Arabidopsis thaliana: one gene and its partners. The protein of the gene in region 1 interacts with the protein of each later gene in a pairwise test. Each region holds a gene or a part of one and is shown on either strand. Other genes may lie near its edges. The genes, in order: CDKB2;1, CKS1 and CYCP2;1.

Region 1 (4,798 bases):
TTATTGATAAACTGTCTATTTGTATCAGACAAAAATCATGGAGTCATCCTAATTCCTGAAGGGCTTGTTGAGAGTATTCCTGAACTCTATGCTCTGTTGAAGGTAACGATTCAATACTGGCAAACATTTCTATTTATCATTTAATGTGCTATTTTTTATTGTTTCTTGAGTTCCAAAACATAGTAAGCATTTACATGTTGTTGTGCGATGCAGGAAATTCATGGATTGCTTAAGGAGGGTGTGCAGGTTGATAATATTTCTACTCAGTTGTCATCTTGGTCATCTGCTTTGTTTGAGTTTTTGCCTCCATTCATTAAGAAACAGGTTCTAATTCTTTGACATGGTACTTTTCTTTGTTTTTTCTCACATGTAAACGAGTATGTGTTCTTATGATAAATTGTCTTCTTTGTTTCTGCAGCTACTTCTCCATCCCGAGTCTGATGATTCTGCTCAGCTATCCCAGGTAAGAAGAAAGAAAATGATGGAGTTACTGTGCTATAAAAAGTTGGAATTCTAATTGCTCATTTACTTTCTTCTTAGATTGAGACGGAGAAACTTCTGGCTTATCTTGTGGAGACTGAAATGAACAAGCGCTTGGTATGTTGCACATCTTTTTCACTTGTCACAATCCATTTTTTTCAAATTTTTTTGAATAACCTTGCCTGAATATTCAAGTTGTCCCTAAAACTAAGTTTTGAAAATGACAGAAAGAAGGAACCTACAAAGGGAAGAAATTCAACGCTATCTGTCACTTTTTTGGTTACCAAGCTCGTGGATCTCTTCCATCAAAATTCGATTGTGACTACGCCTATGTATGTGATCGCCAAACTAAAATGCTATTGCAACTTCAATATTATGGACATTCACACCATTGATTATAACTTTGATGCAGGTTCTTGGACATGTATGTTACCACATCCTCGCAGCTGGTTTGAATGGTTACATGGCGACAGTGACTAACCTGAAGAGTCCTGTAAACAAATGGAAATGCGGGGCTGCGCCTATCTCAGTTGAGTTTTGTCTCTTATTTATAAGGCTAAAGTTGTTTAGTATATGTGTTGATTTCTGACTTCAAGTTTCAGTTTTACTGACCCCAATCTCTTTCTCTGTTTAACCTTAGGCAATGATGACGGTTAAGCGTTGGTCCCAAAATTCTGGTTCTACTACGATTGGTAGACCTGTAATTCATCCAGCTTCAGTTGACTTGAAAGGAAAAGCATACGAGTAAGCTTTTGTTCCTCACTCATTAGACAAAGATTAGAATGAACATGAAATCAAGTGATATAATTTGTCAAATGATTTTGCAGTCTATTGAGACAAAACGCGCAGAAATTCTTGATGGAAGATATGTACCGAAACCCAGGACCAGTCCAGTATGATGGTCCAGGTGCAGATGCAAAGGCGGTAAGTCTGTGTGTAGAAGACCAGGATTACATGGGGAAAATCAAGAAGCTGCAGGAGTATCTTGATCAGGTGAGGACGATTGTGAAACCGGGTTGCTCTCAAGATGTTTTGAAAGCGGCATTGAGTGTTATGGCCTCGGTGACTGATGTTCTCACTACGATCTCATCTTCTTCCACCAGCGGTCAGCAATTTGCTTAAAGATTTTTTTATTGTTTTGGTTTTCCCTTTAACCATAAACTTCATTAGCTCTCTCTCTCTCTCTCTCTTTCCATTTTGAAGTCGTCTTCTGATTTACGCAAACTTTATTGTTCAAAGTTGAGTTTAGGAAAAGGATATTCAAAGTTAAAGGATTTGAGTAATGCTTTTTTAATGAAGAAGTCTGTGTTTGGGTTCACTAATCTTCTTGTTGCCTTCTCGATCATAATTTGTATATGGTGCGACCAAATCAAAGTACCTACGGATATATATGACAAGTGGACACAAATGAATAAATGTAAAAATTAAAATTAAATACTATAGTACGTGGCAAATTAAAAAAAGGCGTTTATGAAAAGACCGCTCCTCCACGCTCCAGTTTGAATTTCGAAAAATCAGTCCGTTGTGAAAGCCCAAGAATAAGGATTCTATAATTTCAGGTCTCATTTAATTATATAACCTATCTACACTTTGATCTCCGACAATTCACTTTCCCAATAAGAACCAACTGAGAGAGAGAGAGCGCCGGAGAAGAAGAATTTTAGAGAGCGATGGACGAGGGAGTTATAGCAGTTTCCGCCATGGATGCTTTCGAGAAGCTTGAGAAAGTTGGTGAAGGGACATACGGGAAAGTTTACAGAGCCAGAGAGAAAGCTACCGGGAAAATCGTCGCTCTAAAGAAGACGCGTCTCCATGAGGACGAAGAAGGCGTTCCTTCCACCACTCTCCGCGAGATCTCCATTTTGCGAATGCTCGCTCGTGATCCTCACGTCGTCAGGTTAGGGTTTTACCTCTGATTCGATAAAATTGCCCCCATATTCTCGATCTTGTAGTCGCGTTAGGGTTTATATAGTCGATTTCTCACTATCTCGCTTGTTTTCCAGATTAGATAGATCTCAATTTCAAATCGTAGTAATCAGTTCGAAGAGTCTACTAATTGTTAGATGATTTGGCTCTGAGAAACTGTTGATAGATGTTTCCCTAGAGTTTGATCTGGATCGCTGTATCAGTTAGTTTTCCAGTGATTGCAAAATCAATTATATACGGAAACTTTATTTGTCATCTTTTTCAGGTTAATGGATGTTAAGCAAGGACTAAGCAAAGAAGGCAAAACTGTACTGTACCTGGTTTTTGAATACATGGACACTGATGTCAAGAAATTCATCAGAAGTTTCCGTAGCACTGGCAAGAACATTCCAACCCAAACTATCAAGGTTTTTAACCACCTTATTACTGTCATCTCTCTTTCTCGCTTCATTTGTGCTCACTTGAACCAAACATAACATTCTGAAAAGTTATTTGCAGAGCTTGATGTATCAACTATGCAAAGGTATGGCATTCTGCCATGGTCACGGGATATTGCACAGGTGAATTGTTCTCTGGCTTTCCCTTGTTTTCAACTTCTAAGTGAGAATGATTTTAGATAATAACTTGGAAGAGAGATTTCTTCTTCTTACTATTTCTCCTTGTTTCAAAACAGAGATCTCAAGCCTCACAATCTCTTGATGGATCCCAAGACAATGAGGCTCAAAATAGCAGATCTTGGTTTAGCCAGAGCCTTCACTCTGCCAATGAAGAAGTATACCCATGAGGTAATCAATGTTTGACACTGCTTCTTGCACTTATCCCACTTTGTATGTATTGTAGAACTTATGGTTTTGAATCGGTTGTTCATTGCAACAGATATTAACTCTTTGGTATAGAGCTCCAGAGGTTCTTCTTGGTGCCACCCATTACTCTACAGCTGTGGATATGTGGTCTGTTGGCTGCATATTTGGTATGTGTTCTTTTCAGACTCGTTGATTTCACTAGTCACTGCGATATCATCTTAAGTTACTAAACAACAACAATTAACATTGTTCCTTCACCATTTACAGCTGAACTTGTGACCAACCAAGCAATCTTTCAGGGAGACTCTGAGCTCCAACAGCTCCTCCATATTTTCAAGTAAGTCTTTGTTGATTCTTCACCTTTTACATGACAAACATAAGAAAACCTTTTTTCATTTTGCCGCTCTTTCCGGTGTACAACTCAGGTTGTTTGGGACACCCAATGAAGAAATGTGGCCAGGAGTGAGCACACTCAAGAACTGGCATGAATACCCACAGTGGAAACCATCGACTCTATCCTCTGCTGTTCCAAACCTCGACGAGGCTGGAGTTGATCTTCTATCTGTAAGTCTAAAGTTTATTAACTAGCTACCAAAACAAACTCAACAGACGAACTAATTGCGTTTTTATCTTCCTGGAACAGAAAATGCTGCAGTACGAGCCAGCGAAACGAATCTCAGCAAAGATGGCTATGGAGCATCCTTACTTTGATGATCTGCCAGAAAAGTCCTCTCTCTAAGGATTTAAAATCTTCAGTTAGTATCTTTCCAAGTTTTATGGTTTTTCTAGTTTTGCTTCTTTCAAGCATATCTCTAGTGTGCTGCTTCCCCCTCTATGAATCATCCTTTCTTTAGCATAATATATCACTTCTGATTGTTGTTTCTTTCTATTCGAATATTTGGATTAACGGCTTTAATGTTCTTAAGACTATTCGCAATTATAATGATCCAGTCATCTGGAAGTCTAAGAATAAGTTCTTGAATAAATGGATACATATAACAAGATCGAGTGTGGGGATTTATGTCACAAGCCACATGAAGAATGTTGGCCAAACAGTGAGTGAAACTGCAGCCAAAGAGTAAGTCCAAAGCATAATCACAGAGCATTCACTCTCCCCAGCGCCGAATAATTGGGTCTTTGTACCTGAAAAGTAAGGGAAACTAGTGATGTATCTTATCTGAAAGAAGTAACTGTATTTTAAGGAGTTGGTTTCAAGCCATGCACCTAGATTCATGGCTGGTGGGACAGCATACTGAAGAAGAAGAACGAATTGGTACAAGGGTTCTGAGGTTACTAAATCCAACTTGTATGCTCCTCTCACGAGTAAAACACCGCTTACAGGTAGCAAAATGTAACGAGCTACCAAGACGCCGATAATGCAGGAGTTTTTCATTTCTGAACTCCTCACTTCCGACCTCCTCATTCCTTTAAGTAAGTTTCCTCCAAGAATCAGGGTCATAGCAGGAATGGCCCCATCTCTTTAGCCAAAAGAAACAAGACACAGAAAAAGTGAGTTTTTCAAAGAGATGAATCATTTGTTGAGCTACTTCTAAGATAATGAGACTATTCTACAATTACCCCAATAGGGT
Region 2 (3,487 bases), on another chromosome or scaffold:
GTCGAACCGTAATCAAAATTTTAGGGCTCCACTAAGCGGGAAGGAGCGCCTCTAAGAAATTTGAAACTCAAAAAAATCAAAACACCCGTTGAGAAAATGCCCCTATAAATCCCCATAATTACTTCCTTACCACAATGCCTTTTTAATTCCCTTTCGCTTTCCCTCTTCTCCCCTAAAATTCATTTCGTTTCCGATCGCACTTCTTCTCAAGGTCTGCTTTACTTCCCGATTCTTAGATTAGGGTTCGATTTCTGATTTGTTTAGGTTCTCGTCGTTGTTTAGGGTTTAGATTACTGACAGATTGCTCCATTTCTTTTGTTTAGTAAATTTAATAGACGTTTGTTGGGTGATTTAAGAAGATGGGTCAGATCCAGTACTCCGACAAATATTTCGATGATACTTTCGAATACAGGTGATTCTCAGTTTGATTCTCCTCCCATTTTAATGGAGTTCTCTCTCACGTTTTAGTTTCAGTCTAATCGCGTGGTCTTTTATTTTTCTCTCAGGCACGTTGTACTTCCTCCGGAAGTTGCTAAGCTTTTACCTAAGAATCGTATTCTTTCGGAAGTAAGTTAAAAATTAGGGCTTTCCTCTATTCGCTGTATAACCCTTGAATCATCGTAGGCTAAGAGATTTACATGTTTAAGAAATTAAGTTAGGAAATTGAAGTTTGGACTTTTGAGAGTCGAAGAAATTGAAGTTTCTGCTTAGGAATTTGAAGTTTTGCTTCTCATTAACTTGTTTATTAACTTTAGGTTGTGTAATTGTCAGCAGTGACGAAGATAGTTTAGATATTTTTTTGTGTTATCAGTCAATTCTCAGTTTTCTGATTTTGAAGTTAACAGTTTTCTTGTTTTACAATCTGGTTTTGTAGAGTGAATGGAGAGCCATCGGAGTGCAGCAAAGTCGTGGATGGGTTCATTACGCGATTCATCGTCCTGAGCCACATATCATGCTCTTTAGGAGGCCTCTTAACTACCAGCAGGAGCACCAAGCTCAGATTGCTAAGTAGAAGAATTATGCAAAATTCTCCCTAATCTCTGTTTATGTCTCTCGTAAACGAGGTTTTAAAATACTACTCTGATGTTTTGTTCCTGTAGTTTTTTTTATTGTGTTCATGAATTCTCTTCAGTGGAGAATCATGTGAGTTTGGTAGAACAACTTTTAATGTTATGTTAAGTCTGGTCCTTTGCTAGACTTTGGTTGGATCCACGTTTGAACTTCTTCATGGTTAAGAATGAAGACGTTATTTCTCATGCTTATGTGCTTGTTTCATCATTTCAACCTCTTTTTATTGCTCCTCTTAGAGTCTTAAGTCCATAACTATGAACAACAAACAAGGTATCATTACAATGCCAATCTGAAGGTCTAATCACGATTCTCATGGCGATACTGATTCAAAGAAACTCATATTGTGTCTCAATCACCACATTCACCAAACACCATATATTCCTTACTGTACTACTATTAGTGTATTGAAACCAGGAGATTCAGAGCCATTTTTATAAATTAACTAGATATGTATCTTATACCTAGTGTGAAGCACTGATTGTTGGAATTAAATGAAATTTCGAGAAAATGAACGAGTTCGTAGTTTGATGGTAAATAACAAGGTCTTTGGTCAAAGCAACCAAACAAGTTGTTGAATTTAATTAGAACCAAACCAATCCACCCAATTTCAATTCATTTTGGTAACTAACCGGTTTATAATCATTCATACCCAATCGGCGTCTTCTAAAGAATTTCAAAACTCTAAAAAGTTAATCAAACACCCCTCTATTTCCTCATAATTACATATCTACCCCAAACCACTTTATTCTCCTTTCACTATCTTCCCCAAATTTCAAACGATCAGATTACAGATTCTTCAATTCCTCTTTCCCTTCTCCTCCATTTCCTGATTAAGGCTTCACATCTCTGAGAGAGAAATGGGTCAGATCCAATACTCCGAGAAATACTTCGATGACACTTTCGAATACAGGTAAAGCTCTTCAATCTCGCTTCTTCTTCCTCCAATTTTCACTCTCACTTCTCTAATCGTAATCGATCGATACAGGCACGTCGTTCTTCCTCCTGAAGTCGCTAAACTTCTTCCAAAGAATCGTCTTCTCTCCGAAGTAAGTTTTTTTCCGCATTGTTCTCTGATTTCTGATTCTAAATCCTTCGATTAGATCATCGAAGACTATGAAAATTTGTTGCTCTTAAGAAATTAAGTTTGGGAAAAATCGAAAAAGAGATCGTTTAGGTTTAGGATTTGAATCTTTGCTCTGAATCCAAATTGCAACTGTTACGATTTTGAATCTTTGCTTTGGGATTTTGTAAGGTTTAGTGATAAAGAGATTTTAGACATTTGTGTTGTGCAATCTCTTCAATGTTGTATTGATTGGTGGTGATGGTAAAAATGTTTGGAATTTCGAAGAACGAATGGCGAGCGATAGGAGTGCAGCAAAGCCGCGGATGGGTACATTACGCGGTTCATCGACCTGAGCCGCACATAATGCTATTCAGGAGGCCTCTTAACTATCAGCAGCAGCAGGAGAATCAAGCTCAGAACATGCTTGTTAAGTGAATCATTATCATCACCTGAGTAAGAATGTTATATGCAACAATTCTATGAGTATTGGTTTATGTTTCTTGTAAACATGGTTTGAATCTTTGTGGTTATGGATGAATATGTGAGAGTTGGTTTGTTGAACAACTTCTATGTAATGTTAGTCTTGGTTCTAATGTCATCTTCTGCTTCTTAATTACTTATTTCTCAAGACATTTGGTGGTAGTTTAGTGTCATCCAACTATGTGTTTGATTTTTAGATATATTGGTAAAATGGTCACTGGATAGGCATGAGTAGTTGAGAACAATGTGTCCCATGTTTCCACTCAACCATGAACACAAATGAAAGAGAAAAAGAAAGTTTTTGTTGATAACTTTTACGCTCTAGTTTTGTAGAATAACCATTGTTTTTGTTGATAACGAAAGTATGAAACTTACATTTCAATGAAGAACACAAACGTAGTTGCTATCGAATCAAATCCTCAAACTATAATGGTGTTGAATCTGGATGGAGGTTTGAGTAAAAAGATACATGACTCGAAAATCAAATTAGATGTTATTGTGGTTATCATGGTTTTCCTTTTTGTGTGGCTAAAACTTTACATTGGTAACTTTCTTTTCTATAATTAGGGGTTAGTTTGCTAGATAGCCAAAATCTGGAACATATTTTGGAAAATAGTTTCAATGACAAAATTGTAAACAGTAATTACTGGGGTGTCGTTTTGTTTTAAGATGTATTAAGTGTGTAAAATGTGTGTCATAGTGTTAAATAGCACTCGTCCATAATAAATATTTTTTTTATATACTGTATAAACTATAAAGCAACATTTACTTTGTAAAAATAAAGTGTCATCAGATTAAATAAAGATTTGTTTATAACATATGCAAAGAACTGTAATGGTAAAATAAATAAAAAATAAAAAAATAAAACATGTG
Region 3 (3,342 bases), on another chromosome or scaffold:
GTTTTGTGTTTCAATTACATTAATTTGTGAGGAAAAATATCGTAAATTGTTACGTTTCAAATAGAAACACAAATGTTTTTGAGAGCTAATACGGAGGAAGAAGCACTCACTTATGACGACCGAGATCGATTAGGCCGATTCACAACCTTTTTCGTAAAATGACGAGAAATTCAAAACCCAATAATGGGAGATTACAGAAAAAAAAACAGATTACAATCTAAGAACAGAATATTTTTTGAATCGAATGAAATGTGAAGAAGAACAAAAAAAGAGTTTTTTTACACTTTTACAGTGGTGTGCGAATCACGTAGAAGAAAGAGAGGTAGGGTTGCTTCTTTTATACCTTGTGAAAACGTGTGTCCACGCGGTTAAAATCCACGTGGCGTAATTATGAGCCTTGACGTGATTTATTATGAAGACATGCATAGGTAATTGTGATTATATCGCTTGTCAAGATAGTACTATCTGATTTTTTTCTTGCTCGATAGATTTTGTGCTCTGTGGCAAACCTTAAAACTCGTTGTTTCGGGTCGATACTAGCTATTACTAGTGTTACTTACTTGTGGTTCCCAATAAATTTATTGATATCGTTTATACGTGTAATACATGTCGTAATTTACTTGAATATTGAGCCACGTACGTTTCTTTTTCGAAAATATGTTCTCAACTAGTTTGAAAGAGTTATCAGTTTTTCTGAATTGTGTGATGTCTTTTGGTATCTCTAACATTTGATATATAGATGTGAGATCATTGAGTCATTTCATTTGAAATAGACTAGGCCACATCAACTTCTATATTATCATCAGTTTAATGTACATGCATGTATAATGGCTATGCAGTTGACTCTTGAATAGAAATAAGTTGTTAGCATTTCTAACTTTTTGATCAGGCTACCCTCAAATTTTGGGATTCCTAACCTAAAAAATGTTGTCAGCTATTTCGTAAAAAATTTGTTTCTAAAAGAAAATTGTAAAATTTGAACTAGTAATTATCTTTTGATATAATCCTCAAAGAACTAACTTTTCTTTTTAAGAAGTTGCACACCAACCTAACTATTTAAAAGGATACAATTTAAGAAAAAAATGCCTTATGCAAAGAAAATGATATATAGATTTGATAGATAAAAGTAAGAAACATGATAACTATTAACGTAAACAAAGATAAATGAACTTCAAAACAGAGATAAGAAAAAATGGCCACATAACATTATATGACCTATGCATAAACTCTCCTTATCAAAACATTAAACATGTATGCAGTGACCGGCAACGCGTATGCCTTTTTTCAAATAATGTATCTAACATTAATTTACATCTATATATAGTATTTACATCAAGAATATATTCCAGCGTATGTAGTAAAATTTGTGTACTGTGAGACTTTTCAAAGGAAATTGTACCGGACGAGAAAATTATGGACCAAGACCCGGAAACTTAATTTTGGGTAATAATGCTAGTAATATGCAGAAAATTAAGTGGAAAATAAAGTTATTTGTTTGATAAATGATAACTAATTTCATTGCTCAAGGTATACAAAAATCATCGGAATCCTATCTTCTCGCGAAGTGACACGTGTCAAAACCATCTCACACTCGTCCAAAGTCAGACGAAACATGATAACATCCCCACGTAACATCTTAAGCTCATCGTATCTCAACCACCCAATCTACAAGCCATATATACCCAAAACGAACTATACAACATGGCCCATTAACGAAAACTGAAGAGAACCCATGTTAACCGCAGCCGGAGACGATGAACTGGACCCGGTCGTGGGACCAGAATCGGCAACGGAAGCAGCCACTCCAAGAGTGCTGACTATAATCTCCCATGTGATGGAGAAGCTCGTGGCACGAAACGAGTGGTTAGCTAAGCAAACTAAGGGATTTGGGAAGAGCTTGGAGGCGTTTCACGGCGTGAGAGCGCCGAGCATAAGTATAGCTAAATACCTTGAGAGGATATATAAGTACACAAAATGTAGCCCGGCATGTTTCGTTGTTGGGTATGTGTACATAGACCGGTTGGCTCATAAGCATCCTGGTTCTTTGGTTGTCTCCTTGAATGTTCATAGACTCCTCGTCACTTGTGTCATGATTGCTGCCAAGATACTAGATGACGTGTAAGTAAGCCTTTCTTGAATTTCTATAATATCTTGAAATTAGACTAATCATGAAACTATAGATCATAGTTGTATCTTAATTGATTAACAAAATGAAAGATACATTTTATATCTAACCAATATAAAATGAGGACAAACTTTGTACCTATATGTATGTTAAGTGCCCCTTTTAAGTTATTGATTTCAAGGTTTCAACATGTATTGGATGAGATAAGAGAGGTTTTCGTTTTTTCTAACAAATTTCATATTCACAGGCACTACAACAACGAGTTCTATGCTCGGGTTGGAGGCGTAAGCAATGCAGACTTGAACAAAATGGAGTTGGAGCTTCTCTTTCTTCTTGACTTTAGAGTTACTGTGAGTTTTAGAGTTTTCGAGAGCTATTGCTTTCACCTCGAAAAAGAGATGCAACTAAACGACGCCGTTTCTTCCCTCAAAGATATTCAACCAATGCAAGAAAGTCTCTCTCCAGCATCTACTTTATCATCTTTATATGTTTGATATATGTATATGAATTTTTTTAATATAACTTTTAACTGAACGCGTTTGGTTGACAGAAAAAGTTTACGCACTAACTATCGAAATTTTATTTATATTTTGAAGAAATTATCTCAAATTTTTGCTAGAGAAAAATAATTGAAATCTCAAACTATGTATACTAGAGATTTTACAATGTAAATCTGTTAAGTTAAATAGTTTGTAGATTTCAACTAAATGATATAAGCTATTTTTTCCTACATTTTGCACATGTTGTTTTGTTCTTCAGGTTCATCTCTCTATTTTCTTCTTTTCACTGTAAAATGATACTCCATGATGACTTAAGTATCCAACAACAACAAACCAAAATCCAATTCTAGTTTCCTAGTTTTCTTACTCCTCCAATCGTCTTCGGTTTATCGTGTAAAATTTCCTTTACATAAGAGCAAAACGCACCGTTTCGTACAGATCAGATCCATCGCACCCTATGATAAAAAACAATGGTCTCACACGCTCATCCACCACCACGTGTTTAACAAGACACGTGTCCAAACAAATTGACTTTGCCTAGTTGTGTTCTAATGGAAAAGTAAAATTCCTCTTTTCTCTCTTAGTTCAGGGAGGAGGCTCGAGAACAGTGCCCCATATCTGAAAGCTGAAGCTAAGAATCTGGACGTTCGTGTTTAAACCGACGACGTATTTGAAATTGGCTTTGAAGGAAAGGTGAAATTAATGGCGGAATCGTCG

What was found.
Region 2: the proteins of CDKB2;1 (region 1) and CKS1 interact in binary tests that used the Arabidopsis thaliana proteins (3 or more experiments, as listed by UniProt).
Region 3: the proteins of CDKB2;1 (region 1) and CYCP2;1 interact in a two-hybrid assay, tested with the Arabidopsis thaliana proteins (one study listed by BioGRID).

The regions. Positions count from the first base shown.
Region 1 is NC_003070.9:28,719,704-28,724,501, reverse strand, and holds CDKB2;1 (cyclin-dependent kinase B2;1), read left to right. Parts: upstream 1-1,951; 5' UTR 1,952-2,150; coding exon 2,151-2,377; intron 2,378-2,671; coding exon 2,672-2,813; intron 2,814-2,904; coding exon 2,905-2,966; intron 2,967-3,079; coding exon 3,080-3,191; intron 3,192-3,282; coding exon 3,283-3,376; intron 3,377-3,476; coding exon 3,477-3,546; intron 3,547-3,634; coding exon 3,635-3,773; intron 3,774-3,852; coding exon 3,853-3,948; 3' UTR 3,949-4,174; downstream 4,175-4,798. Other genes in the region: AT1G76550 (Phosphofructokinase family protein), read left to right, coding at 29-102, 214-324, 419-463, 541-597, 708-812, 893-1,009, 1,121-1,224, 1,308-1,602; AT1G76530 (Auxin efflux carrier family protein), read right to left, coding at 4,228-4,352, 4,434-4,687, 4,788-4,798.
Region 2 is NC_003071.7:11,909,985-11,913,471, reverse strand, and holds CKS1 (cyclin-dependent kinase-subunit 1), read left to right. Parts: upstream 1-1,669; 5' UTR 1,670-1,928; coding exon 1,929-1,981; intron 1,982-2,056; coding exon 2,057-2,117; intron 2,118-2,419; coding exon 2,420-2,569; 3' UTR 2,570-2,903; downstream 2,904-3,487. Other genes in the region: CKS2 (CDK-subunit 2), read left to right, coding at 360-412, 507-567, 875-1,012. UniProt on the Arabidopsis thaliana protein: Associates with cyclin-dependent kinases (CDKs) and plays an essential role in the regulation of the cell cycle that affects plant growth rate. May inhibit both the G1/S and G2/M phases.
Region 3 is NC_003074.8:7,703,204-7,706,545, reverse strand, and holds CYCP2;1 (cyclin p2;1), read left to right. Parts: upstream 1-1,587; 5' UTR 1,588-1,732; coding exon 1,733-2,118; intron 2,119-2,372; coding exon 2,373-2,619; 3' UTR 2,620-2,747; downstream 2,748-3,342. Other genes in the region: PEX22 (peroxin 22), read left to right, coding at 3,328-3,342.